Styela clava: one gene and its partner. The protein of the gene in region 2 purifies or fractionates together with the protein of the main gene of each other region. This does not show direct contact. Links are inferred from orthologs where the notes say so. Each region holds a gene or a part of one and is shown on either strand. Other genes may lie near its edges. The genes, in order: UBX domain-containing protein 4-like and ubiquitin conjugation factor E4 A-like.

Region 1 (9,397 bases), on a different chromosome or scaffold from region 2:
TGGTCCGCGACCGATGAAAAACGCTTTTTTAGACATTGCAAAACGCAAAATTTCGGGTGCTACGTAGTATACGTATACCAGGGCATCCTCCCTTAGGATTGTTTGCTTAACTGCCTCAACATTGATACGCCGTACAGTACTGGTAAGTGTTGTACGAACAGCTCAGATATGTGGAATTCACAAAAATAAAAATCGTAAGAAAATATAATCGGGCTCTTTACCACGCATTTTTGTGTCCACGGATTGTCATGATATTTTCTGAGTAGTATTGCTTTTATTTCGCCAACACAATCGCAGATTAAAATGATCACAATTAAATTAATAAAAAGTAAGGCGATGAATATTCATTTTTCATTTACTAATATATTTTGAATATATTTTTATTAAGTACTGAATCAAGTTGTACTTTCTGGAAATTTATAACAGATAGTGAGATTTTTCTAACAATGATAACAAATATGCAAGATCGCAAAAATATGTAACAAAACTAAATATAATCGGGCAATATAGTCTCACATTATTATGTTCACAGATTGCCGATTGGCATTTTGAAAAAGAAATGCTTTCACCTTGTCGTAAGTCGACGCAACCGCGAGTTACCATGATCACAACTAAATTAATATAGAAAGACATTGGATTGAATATTGCGCGAAAGAAAGCCAATTATACACCAAAAAAGTCGGCTCTTTTTAACGAACGCGTAATTGCGGCGAATTTCCGATTTTGAAATTCGTTACAATTCTGTTGTATTTGATTTTATTGCTTCTTTGCACAGGCGCAATAAACGCTCTTTGAGTCCGCAAAGATTTTCGCGGGTGGGAAAATAGTCCGCGACCAAAAAAGGTTGGGAAACGCTGATCTAAACAATGCTTCAACATGTATATATTTATACTTTTAGATATGCCAAAAAAATTTTGCATTATTTTGTCGAGTGTTTTTAAATTATTGATTTGTAATAAATAGCAATAACTTTTTTGCTACTGCAAAATCCACCACATTCATTGAGTGTTTGAATATTTCTCCTGGAACCGTTACATTTTATTAATTCTAATTTGTTTTATAAGGTATTCAAATTTTTGTTTCAAATAATACTTTGTCGAAGTGGCTGTTATACTTATATATATAAAACATACATGCTTAGATGATAGACAAGGCCCAAGCTCCAATTGTCGTAGGCAATTTATTTCAAAATACCGTAACTAAAATATAAATTTTTGCAGACTGCTCGAAACTCACTTTTGAAGAATGATTTGCTGTCACCAGATGGGGTTTTGGCATGAAAACACATCTAGAGGGAGTTTATGAAGATATGACTAAAAAACATTTGAAACAGCTATGTAAACTAACAGACCAACATGTTTAACTCAATAGCTTGATAAAAATGTCTGTTAATTAAATATTCAACACAGGTATAGCAAGGTATTGTGTTAGATATTTATTTATTGGATCTATCTCCTATTGAGCATTTAAATACTCGGAGCATAATTATTATTTCTAAAATTACCAACATTATTCAGGTCATTAATAACAGATAAACCATGGAAATTTTTCTTTCTAGGTTCTTCCTGCATCTGTTGCTGAGATTTTGGAAATGTCTGAATTTGAAGCAACTGCCAAGTATTGCAAACTGCAGAATATCTTTCTTGGCATATGCAGCGGCACTACTGACGTGGCATCCCTTAAAAACGGAAATCTACTCCCTCTGAAACATCTGGAAACAAAAGACTGCAGTGAATCAGCCAAAATTTCATAAATTATTTTACACACTAGAAGTCTACAACAGGTGATTAGCTCAAGGATTTTTTAACAAAATAAATGCTATACAGCTACATGCAATACATTTTGTACTCATATTTAAAAAAACAACAACATTTCATTGCTTCTCCAGCGTACGAAGGGCTCCAACTACTGGTACTTCCAACATGTGATATACCATATTACACCAAACATTTGTCAGACCCCTCTTTAAGTGTAAAATAAAAGTCTTCTCTATTGTTTTACTATATCATACATATAAATTTTTCGTGGCTTGAAACAATTTTTAGAGTTCGACCATCGGGACTATTATAAACTAACATTTGCCGGCTTCCGATCAGACCTGCTAGTGTTTTGGTCTAACTTGTAAATTAAAAATTTCAGACCCTCCCTCCCCCTTCAAAATCTTCAGCTATGCCCGTAGGCCCTCACCCTAAATATTGAATGAATTGCCAAAAGATTTTCAGTTTAAAAAATGCATATTTTGCAGGTCGCGGGGCTGAGAATCCATCGGTGCTCCAGTTGATTGAAAAGTAGCAAGGAAAAAGAAATAAATATGTAGCAATTTCCACGTAATAGAATCTAAATTGCCTTTTTATCCCAGCTAAGAACCACTCCCAAAGCCTTAAAAAACATCAATAGCACTATTAACATAACTCGATATCCAGAGTTTAATCACATTAGTAATTAAAATAATAATTTTTATTTCTATGGATTATTGAGAAAAAAACTTGGGTACTCCAGAAATACGTGTACCAAGATGACGGACAACGGAACATTGTATGTGTACCAGGTTAGGCCATACTTTTAGGTACAAATACTACGAAACTCACTTGGTTAGTCCCTGAACTCGTAATAGAACTAAAATAAAGAAAAGTTGGAATAAAAATTATGTCCTAACCCTAACGTGGTACACATACTACGTTCCGGTGTCTTCATTTTTTGGTACACATACTTCAGGAGTACGAAAACTTTACTGTAATCACATATATATATCTTAATCTTTGTTTTAGCTGATTTGTTTCTTCAATTGTTTTCGTATTCCACGAGTCCTATTGTTCATCTTGTTGTTATTATTTTGGCTACAGTACTCTGCGTATACATTTGCTCTAATTTTTGTAAATATACTTTTTCAAGTAGTGTTCTTACATCTTGACATTCAGTTACATTGTTTAATAGGTATTCGCTCATGAATGATTTGAAAATATTTTTCTTTTATATCAAGTGTCGGATGTTCAATGATGTGATGATGGAAATAAATTCCAGCCGCTTGCGTGTATTGAGGTAGCCCTTGTATAATCATTGACTCTTAAAAAGCTATTTATAGATTGATTTGATTAATTTCTTAAGCAGAGCCTTGTGTTTCTGGGTTGCAATGTGAAAGAAAATTGCTGCTTTACCTATGGATTCCAGATTATTGTCACATTCACAAAAGCTGTAGTGCGCAAATCACTGGCCCTTCGTTTCGTTTGACGCCGTTGTATTCTTTCTCATAATCATCACGGCAAATGTTTTTACGTTTACTCATTTTATCTCTCACGAAGTTCCAGATCTAAACTAAATTCAAATTTTAATTTACCGGTATATTCATTCATAAGGTTAAAAATAAGGACACACGTCAAAATAAAATTGTTTCTTAGAAATATGGACAAAAATATTTCCTAAAACAAAGACCTTTGAAATAAGGACAAATTCTAAAAATAAGGACGTTATGGCAGTCCTGATTATAGGTCAAGTGGAGAAAAAACTTCTGTAAAACCCACAATACTTGAGATGGAGTGAGACCAAAAGGCTTTGCTACTAAGCGTTTTTTTTACATAAAGTGCAAACTATTCATTTTTGTCACCACCAGTAGGCCTACATCTGACTGACATTTTTGCAATGCATCGCATTTTTGATGCCTTGCTCTCTTTCGACAAAGAAGTTATCACATCATCCTGGTCATTTGCATGACAGACTGTGTCTTCATTTTCACAATTATTTGTTCATTTTTATCAAAATCTCCATGTCCTTCAGCAAATATTTCGATCAGTCATCAATGAACAGGGCGAGTTTGCGAGCTGTGATACAGGAGCGTCGTCGTCGTTAAGCACCTTGTCAGAACCTAACTGATCGTGACGCCCGCCACTTGGAAGTGCAACATCGCCTTTGTTTGTTTATTATACGGCGAGCGGAGTTGGACATCTAGTAGTAGTATATATCAATGAGCATATACACAACCCAAAAAAGTTTGAAAACTCGTCGGATATCACTATAATATTTTTGTTGGAATATATTCCCATATAAGTCTTCTATCCAATGGTATATACAAATCTTTGCCGCCGAGAATGGAAAGATTTGAAATAATTCGATTTTTCGTGAAATAATTTAATTTTTCCATAGTCAATCATTTTCGAACCCCAAAGAGTCGAAAACTCGTCGAATGTCACAATATTTTTTTTATTGGAGTATGTTTCTATGTTAGTCTTCTATCAAATGGTATATCCAAATCTTTGCCCCCGATACCGGAAAGATTCGAAATAATTCGATTTTTTGTGGAAACATTAAATTTTTGCATAATTGCAGATTTTCGAACCCACATTTTGTTTGACCAGAAAACACCGCAATATGAAATTCGGGAATATAAGTTTGATATTTGGCTGACATGACAGTAGGCTATTTACTGAAACATACCGGTTACTTACCTATTATTTTTTCATCAATATTTTAGGCAGAAAGATTTTGAAAATATATAAAAGATATAAAAGAGGGTACCGGTAAGCATAAAACTATTTATAAAAAAATTGTTATTTCTATGACTGGGGATAGATTAATTTTTCTACACAATTGTAATTTAAATATTGCATGTGAGAATATTCATAATGATATTCTGGCAAACTATATGAAAACCTTTAATTTCAAGTTAATGTGGGATATTTTAACAGTAAAAACAAAATCTGGAATAAGAAATATTGCAGGAAATGATATGTGTGTGTTATGTCAGTATGTGGGAAAGAACCAGAATTTGTTAGCCATCTAGATGATCTAGGCTATTTATGAGTTTCGATGAATTTATGAATATTTTGATTATGTTTTTGATTTTATTGAAAATACTGTTAGGAAATTAAATAATGCCAGACTTTTGAAAAATTATGAAACTTGTGTTTTATTGGATTTGAGGTATTTCTGTATTTGTTACATTCCAACATTACAAGACGAGATTTAGATATTATTGTTTATTTAATTTCAATCACTAGATATAAAATATGGATACAAAGAAATTCTGGTATATTCGACGGTAGTCCCCCTAATCAGCACCTAGGTATCAAACAAATAAAAGCTGCAATCACTTACAGACTCAACATTGAAAAAAATAGAAAAACCCCCTACCGTAATTTTGTCAGAGAATTTGAAATACTAAGGAATCGTATTTGAACCATAAATCAAGTATGTATAAATTTAGTATGTATAAAAATGATTTTAATTCCTAATTGCTGCATATAGTTGGGTAGCATATTGCTCAAAGTTCAGAATCCACCCTTCTGCCCTTCCGCTCCAATCTAGGATAGGATAGGATTTACATTTTTATCCCGTGGGAGAGGAAAGCCGATAAGACGGCTTAACCATATGACGAATCACGGCCTCTCGTCCGGTTACCATTCCATGTCGGGTATGGGATTAGTTAGTTATTATTTTGAATATACAGATATATCTTTGTGTGTTGAATGTGGGTCAGTGGGTAAACTGGCGCATGTATTTTTACATGTAGGCCTATTAAACCTTTAAAAAGGTTTTCCCAATCTTTTGTGTGTTCATTGTTTGTGTATGATTTTTTTGCGGGGAAAATCTAAATATACCTATATTTATACCGGTACTTAGTTATATTTATACTTAGCTCGGCGATGTGGCGCATCGTGCTAAGTGTTAGGAATACGCTCGCCATCGCATCTCTGATTACCCTTCGTGGGTTTGAATCCCATGCGGGGATGATCATGTGCAGAGGATTGCTGGACTCCTCGCCGCCGCAGGGTGGTTCACGTACTGACGTAACCGCTGGTCTGTTACCGTACGGCTTCCTCCACCATCAAGTCCATGCTTCCGAAAACAAATAACTGGCTAACTAATCCCATACCCGACCTGGATTGGTAACCAGACGAGAGGCCGTGGTTTGCCATATGATTAAGCCGTCTTATCGGCTTTTCTCTCCCCTGGGATAAATATGTAAATCCTATCCTCCTAGTTATTTGTTTCCAGAAGCATGGACTTGATGGTGGAGGAAGCCGTAACCGAATGGCGGTTATGTGAACCACCCAACCGCGTGGAGGAGTCCAGCAATCCTCTCGCACAAATCTATACTCGCATGAGATTCGAACCTGCGAACCCACGCAGAATAATCAGAGATGTGGTGGCGAGCGTATTTCTAATGCTTAGCTCGATAAGCCACAATCTAGCCCTTATAACAACTGACTTATTCAATTCGGTACAGCAAGTCAGCAACACGACCAATATTTCCCATAAAACTCCATTGTTTCGCGTTTCCCAAATATGGCACGAGATGGCGTCCATCTGTCCATGAACTTGTTTAGCATTAGGCGAGTTGGTTGCCGTTCGTTGACCAAACCTAATCTACGAATCTCATTATTATAATTTCATTGTTCATAAACTAGCATACTACGGTATCATAACAGCAAAAAATCACCATGGTTTGGTACTCTGGAAGTATACCCGAAGCCATTGCAGAATCAAGGAAAAGCTCAAAGCTGTTTGTTGTATACATTACTGGTTAGTTCTGTAATCAATTTTACAATAATCTGCAGTAGTGTGTCTGTGTGTGCTGCCTCATTTCAATATTCTGTCACAACCTGCAGACCTGGCAAATTACAACTTGATCAATATACTGATAGGATACTGGGATAGGATTTACATATATTCCCCATAAAACTACATTGTTTCGCGTTTCCCAAATATGGCACGAAATGGTGTCCATCTGTCCATGAACTAGTTTAGCATTAGGCAAGTTGGGAAGACTAGTCTGCTAGTATTTGACTCTAGCAGTGTTTCAAATATCTATCAAGATTTTCAGAATAATAGATGTGCACAGCCCAACTTGTTTCGAAACGATTCTACATGAGAAACTTGAAAAAATTATTTTTAATGTATTTGTAAAATGTGTATATTTATAACTTCAAGGTGATGATGAAGAATCTAGTAGAATGGATGAAATGTGGAATAATGAAAGTGTCGAAAATATTTGCAAATCAATGTGTGTTACTCTTAAATTGAGTGCAGAGAGGTAATGAATGCTTTCATTTATTCAATATATATTTGAAACAAGCACATACTACATTTAATTTCATGTTAGTTTTAATACAGTTATTAATATTTAGGATATTGGGTCTAGTGTAGTTTCATACCTGAAGTATTTCTGCATATGTTAATCCTAACCCCCACCTGACTGTGTCGTCCAAAAATGACTTCACAGTGACGTAATATAGCCTTTCAAAATTACGAACTATCATCCAAGACGCGCAGACGATCACCCAAAATCAAGCAAGTTATTTCTCTCGTTTTCTCATCGCAACTATCCTCATATGTAAAGGTTTGCTGCCGTTAGTGATTTTTTTGTTGTCGGCGCAGATTCTATTTCGGGCGATCGTAGGTATACTTTGGCAACCTCTGTGATTTAATTTTTGAATGACGTAGTTAGGCGGGGGATAGGATTGACATGTGAAATTGGTATGTTACGCCCACTAGAAGTACTTAGGTTCGAAACTACACGAGACCCAGGATGTTTGCATTGCATTATATTGAACGAATATCACACATGACAGTGGCCTGTTTGAAGAAGTAAAATACAAAATTTATTTTGTTAGCATAATAACATACTATTATAAAAATTGTTTATAATAAACATACCATCATGATCTAACCCATTCAGTAGTTCGCAGTGTTCTATAGTCTACTGACTTTGTGAATAGATTGAATTTTCGAATTCATAAACAACTTTATTTTTTTTCTTTAGTGAGGGCTGCAAACAGTTTTCGGCAATTTGTATCCTTTTAATAAGCAAGTAATACAATTCAATGATACTATATATACGATTGATATGACTGACTGAAATTAGATGATCAACTGTTAAATTTCGACTGTTAACTGCCCAGATTGCCAGATTTTGTAATATGGGTTCAACTGAACTATTACTGTTCTGTAAAAAATTCCTGTAGTCTTTAATTTAAATATATATACAATCAATTCAATTCGAACTAAATCATTGTTGTCCATGAAAATGCTGCATTGAAATATGGATCAAAATGTATTGCTCATGATTGGAGCATAATCCCATGCCAACCTTTATGCTAATGTTGAACATTTTCATTTTTTCGGTATAAAATTCATCTGGTATATTTGCGAATGACAAATCAAATACAATTTTTATATCAATCACATTATGCTATTGTTCACTTATTACTAATTCCTGAACTGTATTTTAATTTAAATACTGAAAGATCCGGTATTAAAAGTACCAAGTGCACATTTTATTGATAATAGTGGTAAAGTATTAGAAGTGATTTATGCGCAGTCTTCACTTGATGATTTTGTACAGAACCTTCGGAATATTACCAAGGTATGAAATAAAACAATTTTCAAGTATTATGCTTTTATATTTTATATTGATTTAAGCTCAGATTATCAGATACATAAGGCAATAATGTTAATCTTTTCTCATAGCCTATTTAACAAATTTAGTGATAGTACACTCAATGTGATTTCCTTTGTTAAATTGGTAATATTGTGAATAATATTAACGATGATTGGAATAATTCAAAATAATATATTAATTATGTTGCATTTTTTGTTGTATTTGATTTCTCAGTTTATTTTTATAACTGAATAAGCCAATATGAGATTGAGATATTTACTATCTTACATTAATTCTTTTAGTTTGAGTCAAATGCAGCAAAAAGTTCATCAGAGGTTCAAGAGGAAGCTAATAGCGGTAACATTGTAATTTATATACTAGTGTTGCGAGAATGATTCAATGCAATTTTGTTTGAATATTCTGTATACATTTGATAGTGCAGCTGAAAATTTATGTTGTAGAATACATATTACATAAAGGTCATATATGCCTAGCAATTTTGCATTTGATGATCAATGTTAATCTTTGTGTTTTTCCAGGTCAGACATCAGGGGCAGCGAGCGACGAAAATATACCAAAGTAAGTTTTTAACAGTGATAAAAATAAGTAGAATATAGATTGATTCCTTTTTTTAATTGAAATGCATAATGATTAGTGACATCATAATTATTTTAAACAAAATTGTTAAGTTTAAATTTGGGGAACAGAAGAGATAAATTAGATAACCCATGGTCCTATATACACATTCATTAATATCGAGAGAGCCTTTAAAATTTTTTCATCCACAATTCGGTCTAGATGGGTTTTATTTGTCTGTTGCCAATTTTGCCAACAAGATTCAATGTAATTTTCTATAATATATTCCATTAATCTATTTTGATATATTCAATACTCATTAGCCATTTTTCGAACACAGTTGGTTGCTGTAATCAAAGAGTTATTTCAAAATTTTGAAAACAATTATTCCAAGAATAGTAAGAATTTTACAATTTTAGTCTTAGCCTGACTCCTTTTTCAATAAAC
Region 2 (8,715 bases):
ATTTGTACAATCTTATACTTGACCCAGTTCACTGTATGATTGAGTCACCACCTACCATGGATAAAGGAAAATTATACACACAACACAATTGCATAGCGGCAGTAGCCATAAAATATGGTATTGGAACTAGCTATCAGATTCATCAAGTTTTTTCTTCCTCTTCTCTTCAATCCAGAGCGTGATTTTATTTTTCAACTCTGTGTTTGGGATAACATCTTGCATTGTAAGAGAAGATCTGTTAAATGGGTCAGTGGGATCACTCATCAGATGTCTTGATATAGTAGATCTGTCTACAACCTGTTTTGATGTTGGTAAAGTCACAGGATCACGCATTAATGTTGACATTAAGGCATCAAAAAATTCATCAGGAGCATCCATAAACATCTCTTCTTCTTCCTCCTCTTGACTGCTAAAGAGTTTGACGCGTTCAGATATTTCCATCATTTTCTGTCGTAACTCTTCATTACCGATACGTCTAAGAACTTGACAGGCCATTGGAAATAACTTATTAGAATATGACCTACCATCTTTTGATATAGCATGGCAAAAATCATCTTTTACGCAAAGGTGGACATATATTTGGCATAAGTCCACTACAAGTACTTTTGGTTTGAACTGGTATTTGGAAAGATCTCGTACCCTTAGCGCACCCATTTTCGGCCCAACTAATTTTAACAAAAAGTCATCAAGCATGGCAGCTACTCTATCAGCCAGAGATGGATGACTAAAAAGTTCTTTGACTTCTTTGGCTTCTGTGAGATAAACCAAGGTGTCTAAAGTGTCATTTGATAATAAATTGTGATATTTTGCCAGCATTCCTAACTGTCTCAACTCCCCTTCTTTTTGCATTTTTTCCTGTTGATTCAATTCTTCCCATTCGCCTGCTGCTTTCTCACGTTCAAGGCCTTTTATTTGTGTCAAGAACCCCATGGCTTCATCCAATAAATAAATAGAATCATTGAGAAGCAGGTTCGTAAATTGCAAAAACAAAGGATGCGAAACCTCATCAATATTACTGATAGCCAATCTTACATGCTTCTTGATCATGTCATTACAAGATTTCTTCTGCCATAGATATTTTAGGATTTGATACAAGGGTTGCCTATAGTGAAACTTTTGCTCAAATTGATTTGGATCGCCAGTAAACTCTATGTCGACAAAAAGCTGAAGAGTAGCAACAGTTAAAAATGGAGAATGTGGGAAAGCATTGAAAATTTCTTCTTTGTTGCTTTTTGAATTATCATCTTCAGATAAAGGCATTACAATTGGTAACACTTCAGCAAGAGAGGCACGCAAATGTGGATTTGACATTCTACTTTTATTTCCCATGTAAATCGTAATAACAAGAAGAATGTCATGGATAAATGGGTTAAACAAGTGCGCCGATGAACGATCGAACCTCCAAATAAACAATAGCATATCGGTAAGGTTTTCCACAACATATTCAGGAATGCAGTAAAGACCTTTAGGCACAGTTTCGCCCTCAGGAAGGGGTAGAACAACTCGTGCCAGTGTATCATTGTTGTCTGACATGGCAATATGATTCAAGTATTGTGCTGTTGTACCATGAAGTCGAATGCACGCTTTGAGAAAAGCGGGCTCAGTTAACACTCCTTTTATACTCAAATAATTACGCATACCCGTCTCGAACCTTTTGACAACAAGAGCTGCGTGTCCATTTGGATCTTGTCCAGAAGCACGAATCTGACGATAAACATCTTCATCACGATTTAAACTTCGATTCAACTTATAAAATTTTTTGATAAGGCCATGGACACTGAGATAAATTGAACGGTGTGTTAAGAAAAAGCACTCTGTGATAAAATTATACGAGTCAGCTATAGTTACTGGCGCTGGTGTATTGTCTTCAGTTGATTGCAACCGGGTATCCTTGTGTAATTGAACGCCATGTACACCCTTGGCATGGGCATCAGGCTGTCCCGTGACATCAATATATGATGAATTAATTTTTAAAAACTTGGGAGGTGTTGATTTCGAGGACCCCTCTTCAATACCTTTTACAACAGTTTTTTCTGAGCAAAAGGGCAAACAAAGACGAAGTAATACGCTGCTAATATTAAGTTGTGTCGCATCTGGACCAAACACATCCATAAAAACATCGACGTGTTCGTGCGACCACATTTTTGCAAGATAACCATGATGAGCAATGGTATTACCAAACCACTGCAAAGTCTTAGAACGGGTAGACTTGTGTTTCAGAAACTGTCTAATAATAGAAAACAGTTGAGAATGGAACCCATCTGTTTTATTCTGAAGATGATATTCCTCATTTTCGACCTCAGTTGGACCCATCCTCGCAACATCTTCAAAAAACAAATACGCTTTTGTTTGTGGATCTGGAACAAGACACGACTTTCCGAATAAAATGTCAAGAAAACTTTTCTTTTGTGTTCCTTCCATAACCAACTTTCCATCTATTTTAGCATCATGATTCAAAGTAACAACTGCTAAGCCAGGATGCTCAGCGAACGTTGACAAAACAGCAAGATGAACGTGTAATCCGGCATCTAATAAATCATCAAGGCCGAGATCATTTGCAAGAACTTCCAGCAATGGTGCAAAAGCGGCTTCCATCAGATCAGGCTCATTCATTGAGAAATAATCAGCAACACTATACAAGCAAAGTCTAGGAGGGCTTGTGGGATCCGAACAATCATTCGATACAAGCATATTATAAAACTGTTGGTGAACCATTCCTTTTTCTTTTCCAATTTCCATAAATAATTCTGGGCTAATAAACGCAGTTGATATATTTCGAACAATCAGTTGACGATAAAATGATATTGTCGATAAAAGATTTGGTGGAATATATTTTTCTTCATGCATTAATCTGTTGAAAGATTGCAATAAATAAACAAGAGGACGATCCTCTTTTGCCTCCTTTTCTGTAGTTTCATTATGTTCTTCTGATCGCTTCACGAGAGATTTTTCAGGGTCTATTAACAAAAGACGGTTGAAGATGAGCTGTTCGACTGTTTCATGCAATGGACCACTTTCATCATTATCCAGTAAAACGCAGAAAGAAGGCAAATCTCTTTTCACTTCCTCACTGGTATTAAGGTGCTGATTATCAGTCAAAAGAAAAATTCTTTCCGCTAAATCATTTTTATGTTGGTTCAACTTTGAGTTCGATAATTCACTTGGAAAAGTCATTTGAGTGACATCTTGAGATTCTTTTTCGCTTTCGATGACTTGTCCCGGCAAATCAATTCCGCTTTCATCAATATGTGAATCAGTTTGAGTTGATAGTTTTGGAACCTCCATAGGTTCATTGCAAGAATTAGCTAGTAAAGCTGCAAATGGGTTGCTTTGCATTTCAGCATTACTACTGCTTGCTCTATTATCCATGCTATTTTTATATTACAGTATAATAATAACTAACAGGGGCTATTCATTAAAAAAGAAATAAAGATTGGCAATAATCATAAATAGTTCCGCAATTTATTTCAATATAATATATAATGGTGGGAAGATAGTTTTGTAAAATTCATACACCTTAGTTTCTTAGAGTAGAACATTTTCCTTATAATCGACATAATAAGATCATAAGAACAAATCACAAGACTTTTGAAGCAAATCATAGTACAATGGGTCAAAAATAACACTGAAGTAAGGTTCTGTTCCATTTCAAAAATAGATCATGAATTTGCCTATACAACAGGATTTTTTAATTCGGTAACACCATTTAACTATGTCGCTGTCCATGGCCTTTCGGCCATGTCAACTGAAAACTGAAGAAAGACAGTATTTCAAAATGAGCTGTTACTTTACAGTGCAACAATACAACTTGAAACATATTGCTTGTTCATTCTTTATCAATTCTTAAGGTCTGAATCTCTGATACAGAAATAGTTAACAGTCAATTGTGAGATGCATGGACTAGAATTCATATATAAAGAAATAGAGGTGGCAAATAGTGCTGAACTGAACAATGGCCTTATCCAAAAAATTTAAAAATGGCATCATTTTTTCTGACGTGCCAGTAACCATTTTTCATGTTCAGAATTAAAGCTGTCAGCATTATGCGGCTCCCTGCCAGATAGGATATACATCCCCCATACATAAACTGCGAATAATACTCCCGAAATAACGACCAATTCTGTTCCAATTGTTGATTTGGGGGGAGGGCTCATCCCTTCTTGCATCTCACCCCCTCCAAATTTTTTTGTATTCTCCCAATATTGTGTCCAAAATTCAGAGTCAGATTCAGCTTTCATGTCTCTGTATGCTTTTCCACCGCCATAAGTACTATAAAAATCACTCCAATCTGTTGAATCATCCCTATTTTTCCGATATGGGCTTTTATAATCCTTTGACCTCTGTATTAAAGGAGATGAGTACATCCTGCTTTTTTTCATCAATTCAAAATTATATGCAGACCTCAGGTTTGGATCAGAAAGAACAGTATATGCTTCATTCAGTTTTACAAACTTTGCATGCATTTCTTCATCACCGTAGTTCTTATCAGGATGATACTTTTTGGACTTAGAAATGAACGCAGTTTTAACTTGGTCTAAATTTGAATCTTCTGGTATATCCAATGTTTCATAATGACTTTGGCTTTTCCACTGACTTATACAGAAGCCCCTAATTGGAAAATATGGTCGGACTTGCATACATGCATTAAAGACGCTATTAAAAGACATGGCATTAATGCATAATGCCTTTATTTAATATAAAGACTTAAATACTTTCTGAGAAAATAATTATACATTTGACAGTATATTGGACTGGCTAATCAACTTCACAGTCTAGTCTAGAATATAATTTATTAATGGTCACATCGATTACTTCTGTGGGGCATTATTTGTTTGAAAAAACTGCCAGACTTCTTGGCATCCCTGGCTGGTTGAACATGACTTCCTCGTCAGTCGTCACCCATTGGCATGGTTTGTTGAATGATTATTAATAAGCTGTCACTTATTGACTGCCATTTTTCTTGGCATAAATACAAAAATTCTTATCTTATCATCAAAAACAAAAAACAAGTGCAATAGATATTTATATTTTTTTCAGCAATATTTGCATCAAGTTGAATGTGGGAGCACCTTGAGATAACATTACATAAATGGCAAAAACAAATAGGTCGTAGACTGAACTTCATTCAAACACTATTTCTTTCATATGTCTAGTATGAAAAGACTGAAAAATAAATTAAATAGGTATAATATTCAAAAAAATTTGATTTTGATTTTATAAAATAATTGGATATCTTTATTTGATCATTACTCACTTTCAGATTATTAGCAAATGCTACTAGTCAGAAGTAGGCTACATGGCGAAAATAAAGAGTAATTTTTTTTTAAATTTTTCGAGATTCTAAATAATAAATCTCAACTATGTGACATATCTATTAAATAGGAAAGAAATATTTTCCTAATTTTTAACAAACAGCATCGACCTATTTCAACATATAAACCCTCTTAGGCATCCTCTAATTTTGGATGCGCAATATTAACACTACCAGAAAATGCTGTTTGTGGCTCATTAGAGTCTGATGGTTCCCTTAATATTTTCTTATGTTTTATTAATTCTGTTCCCTCCCAATTGTCAATATCTGTCCTGTTACGAGAGATTTTAAAAGCCACAAAAAATCTAAAAGAAAGTAACCCCAAAATACATATAACAAACACTTTCATAAGAACATCTGGGTTTTGATTAGAGTTTAAATTAACTTTTCCAGCACCGTGACCTTGTTGTCTATAATAATGAAACCAATAATTAGTTAGTCTGTCACGAGAATGCTCATTGTAGTTCGTTTCATGCCTCCATTCATTTCGCTGTGTTCTAGTATAACGATCATAAGGGTCTCGATAGGGAGGTCTTTGATAATATTCCCAATGCTGATGTCTATTCACATAAGGGTTGTTTCGATATGCAGATGACCAGGCTTCACGTTCATGTGCTGTGTCGAAAGAGCGACGCCTACCTAGTTTATCATCATACTCTTTTCTTGTGACTGTATTACTTAATACAGTATAGGCATCACTTATCTTCAAGAATTGTTGAGCTTTAACTTTATTGTTTGAATGCTTATCTGGATGATATTCCTTGCATAGTTTGAAGTAAGCTTGCTTGACTTCGCTTTGTGTAGCTGTTTGTTTTATTCCCAAAATTTGATAATGATTTTGACTCAATAAACTAGAATAATGAAACATGGCATAGTTTGCTTGACAGCATTGTGATGTTCTTAACAATTTAGCTTTCCATTTACTAAGTTTGAATATCATCTGTAAACATACAATATAATAAACATTACTAACAAGTTTTGATCATTCGTTCATTTGATCATTGCAGCATTGTGATGTAATATTTGTCGTTTGACTGATTTAACTTCAAATTGCACGCTACCATTTTCATGCTAAAACATAATTTGTATTAATCATTGATAAAAACTTCCTCAACCGCTTAACAATTAAAAAAAAACTGTTTCGCTACAGCTTCTTTTAGTTAAATTTGGATCATAATTATTGCTAGCGAGGAGAGCCGCATAAAAACTCTGGCGAGACGCGGTTTGCCCACCATTGCAATAGACCTTATTCAACTAATTTAAAGGAGAATATTTTTAAACTAATACTTCAATAATAATGTAATATGCCTTCTTGGTTGTGCTGTCAGACTATTCTGGGAAGACAGTAATAATTTTAAATGGTGCTGCAATCAGCCTCGGCAGCTCGCGTACATGAAAACTGAACGAAATGGATAATCAATGAAATCATTTAGCTCAACTTTTGATTCCTACATTACCGTAAGTAAGAATACAATTCACAGTATATGTAAAATAAATAAAAGTACAAAATATAGTTCATAGTCCAGTTTACATTCATAATCCAGTTGTTAAATTAGGTTTCATAATTTTTCCAGTTTGTTCCATCAGCGATAATTATCCATAAGAATTATGTTATTTTAATAATTACAATCACATAAAACAATAAAAAAGGGGAAAAAACTTATCATGAGCATAATTTACTATTTTATATAACGCTTCGCATAAATTTTGTAATTCCTTTCCAAAGGGTTTGTTTACTACTGTGGAGTTTTCTATATTTTTTCTATACATTAGGTTAGGGCCATTTTTATCTGCTTTTCTAAGGAGAGCAATATCAGGTCTTTTAATTTCATATATGATAACATTCTTCATGATCCAAATTGCTGAATTGTATATCGCACTATTGATAACAAAAGAATAATTGCATTCAATTTTACAGTAAATATATGGATAAATAAAGGATCATTAAACTTCCATAATATTATTTATTAAACACTCATTCGCTAGGTACCATATGCCTGTCAGCCTGTACGGTACCGGTATCAGGATGTATGTACATCGGACATCGCACATGTCAGAATCAAAAAAGAGTTTGAATAAATAACGGATTGCTAACAAGTAACAAACGATAATGAATAAACGAACATAGAGTTTCATCAGATTCAGAGTCTTGAAACTTTTTATCTTAAAAAGAATGATCTCGTTTCCGAGGGCTCGCGTGCCAAGTTTGGCACGCGTGCCAGGGTTTGCCCACCCCCAAAGCGTATATATAATAGCCCACCCCTGGCCTACTGGCCTAGTCTATCACACTATCACAGCTATTTCTACACTAATTTTTTTATTACTGCAATTAAACTAAAACTCCTTGGAAGACAGAGTGATCATTGAATTATCTGTTTATATTTAAGTTTCCGAAACACAAAAAAACTAACGAATAGAGTTCAAAAACCGCGAAAACGAGGTAATGTTTACGACCACGCTTGAAAATCTGAGTGAAAAAAGTGTCTGAGCGGATGCGAAAAGGGAGCATTGTTACGTCACTTTTTGCATCTCGCTGATTGGCCAATGTCACGAAGTAAACGAGGAAGTAGTCGATGCTCGGGGAAAGGTTTCTTCTTCTTCACAGCCTCTCCTTTATGGACCTTTCCCCGAGCATCGACTTCCTTGTTTACTTCGTGACATTGGCCAATCAGTAAGATGCAAAACGTGACGTAACAATGCCCCATTTTCGTATCCGCTCAGACACTTTTCTCACTCAGACAGATTTTCAAGCGTGGTTGTAAACATTACCTCGTTTTTGCGTTTTTGAACTTTATTCGTTAGTTTTCAAATGTGTTTCGGAAACTTGAATATAAATCAGATAATTCAATGATCACTCTGTCTTCCTAGGAGTTTTGATTCAAATGCAGTAATAAAAATTAGTGTAGAAATAGCTGTGATAGACTAGCGTGAAATTCTTTACCGGTACTTTTAAAAAACAGATTGTTGTATGCGATGAATCATAATGATGGTTTGAAACACATACCCCATTTTACAGGCGCCAACTCGCAAAAGCATTCTTAAAATAGCCCCGAAAATTTTGCAATGGTAAAGTATAGAGAGAATTTTCTGGGGGTCAAAGGTCGGGGAAAGGTCCATGGCCCCTTCCTCTAATTTTTCCCAATGGGCTTATCAAAGCCGTACCAACCGCACTGGTTCCGAGTGGAATAGAGACTACATTTTGAACAATCGGTTCAAATCAACATGAAAGTAAAAGTCGACTTTCATGATACCAATCCGTACAAGCCAATTTTTTCTTAAATATTAATCATATTAATATTAATCAGCTAGCTAAAAAGTTATCACAAACCGTTGGTATTTTTTACAAACTGAGACACATTTTGAATTTTAAAACATCAAAAGCAGTTTACTATAGCTTGTTTCAC

What was found.
Region 1: the proteins of ubiquitin conjugation factor E4 A-like (region 2) and UBX domain-containing protein 4-like purify together in Homo sapiens (affinity purification with mass spectrometry; 3 studies listed by BioGRID and IntAct, counting the BioPlex papers as one, with this or other methods). This does not show direct contact. The link is inferred for Styela clava from reciprocal best matches to the Homo sapiens genes UBE4A and UBXN4.

What each region holds. Positions count from the first base shown.
Region 1 is NC_135251.1:29,721,053-29,730,449, forward strand, and holds the start of UBX domain-containing protein 4-like, read left to right. Parts: upstream 1-5,161; 5' UTR 5,162-5,181; intron 5,182-6,401; 5' UTR 6,402-6,434; coding exon 6,435-6,516; intron 6,517-6,924; coding exon 6,925-7,027; intron 7,028-7,756; coding exon 7,757-7,785; intron 7,786-8,240; coding exon 8,241-8,359; intron 8,360-8,676; coding exon 8,677-8,731; intron 8,732-8,913; coding exon 8,914-8,953; intron 8,954-9,397. UniProt on the Homo sapiens protein: Involved in endoplasmic reticulum-associated protein degradation (ERAD). Acts as a platform to recruit both UBQLN1 and VCP to the ER during ERAD.
Region 2 is NC_135263.1:10,183,349-10,192,063, forward strand, and holds the start of ubiquitin conjugation factor E4 A-like, read right to left. Parts: upstream 3,987-8,715; 5' UTR 3,582-3,986; intron 3,544-3,581; 5' UTR 3,370-3,543; coding exon 127-3,369; 3' UTR 1-126.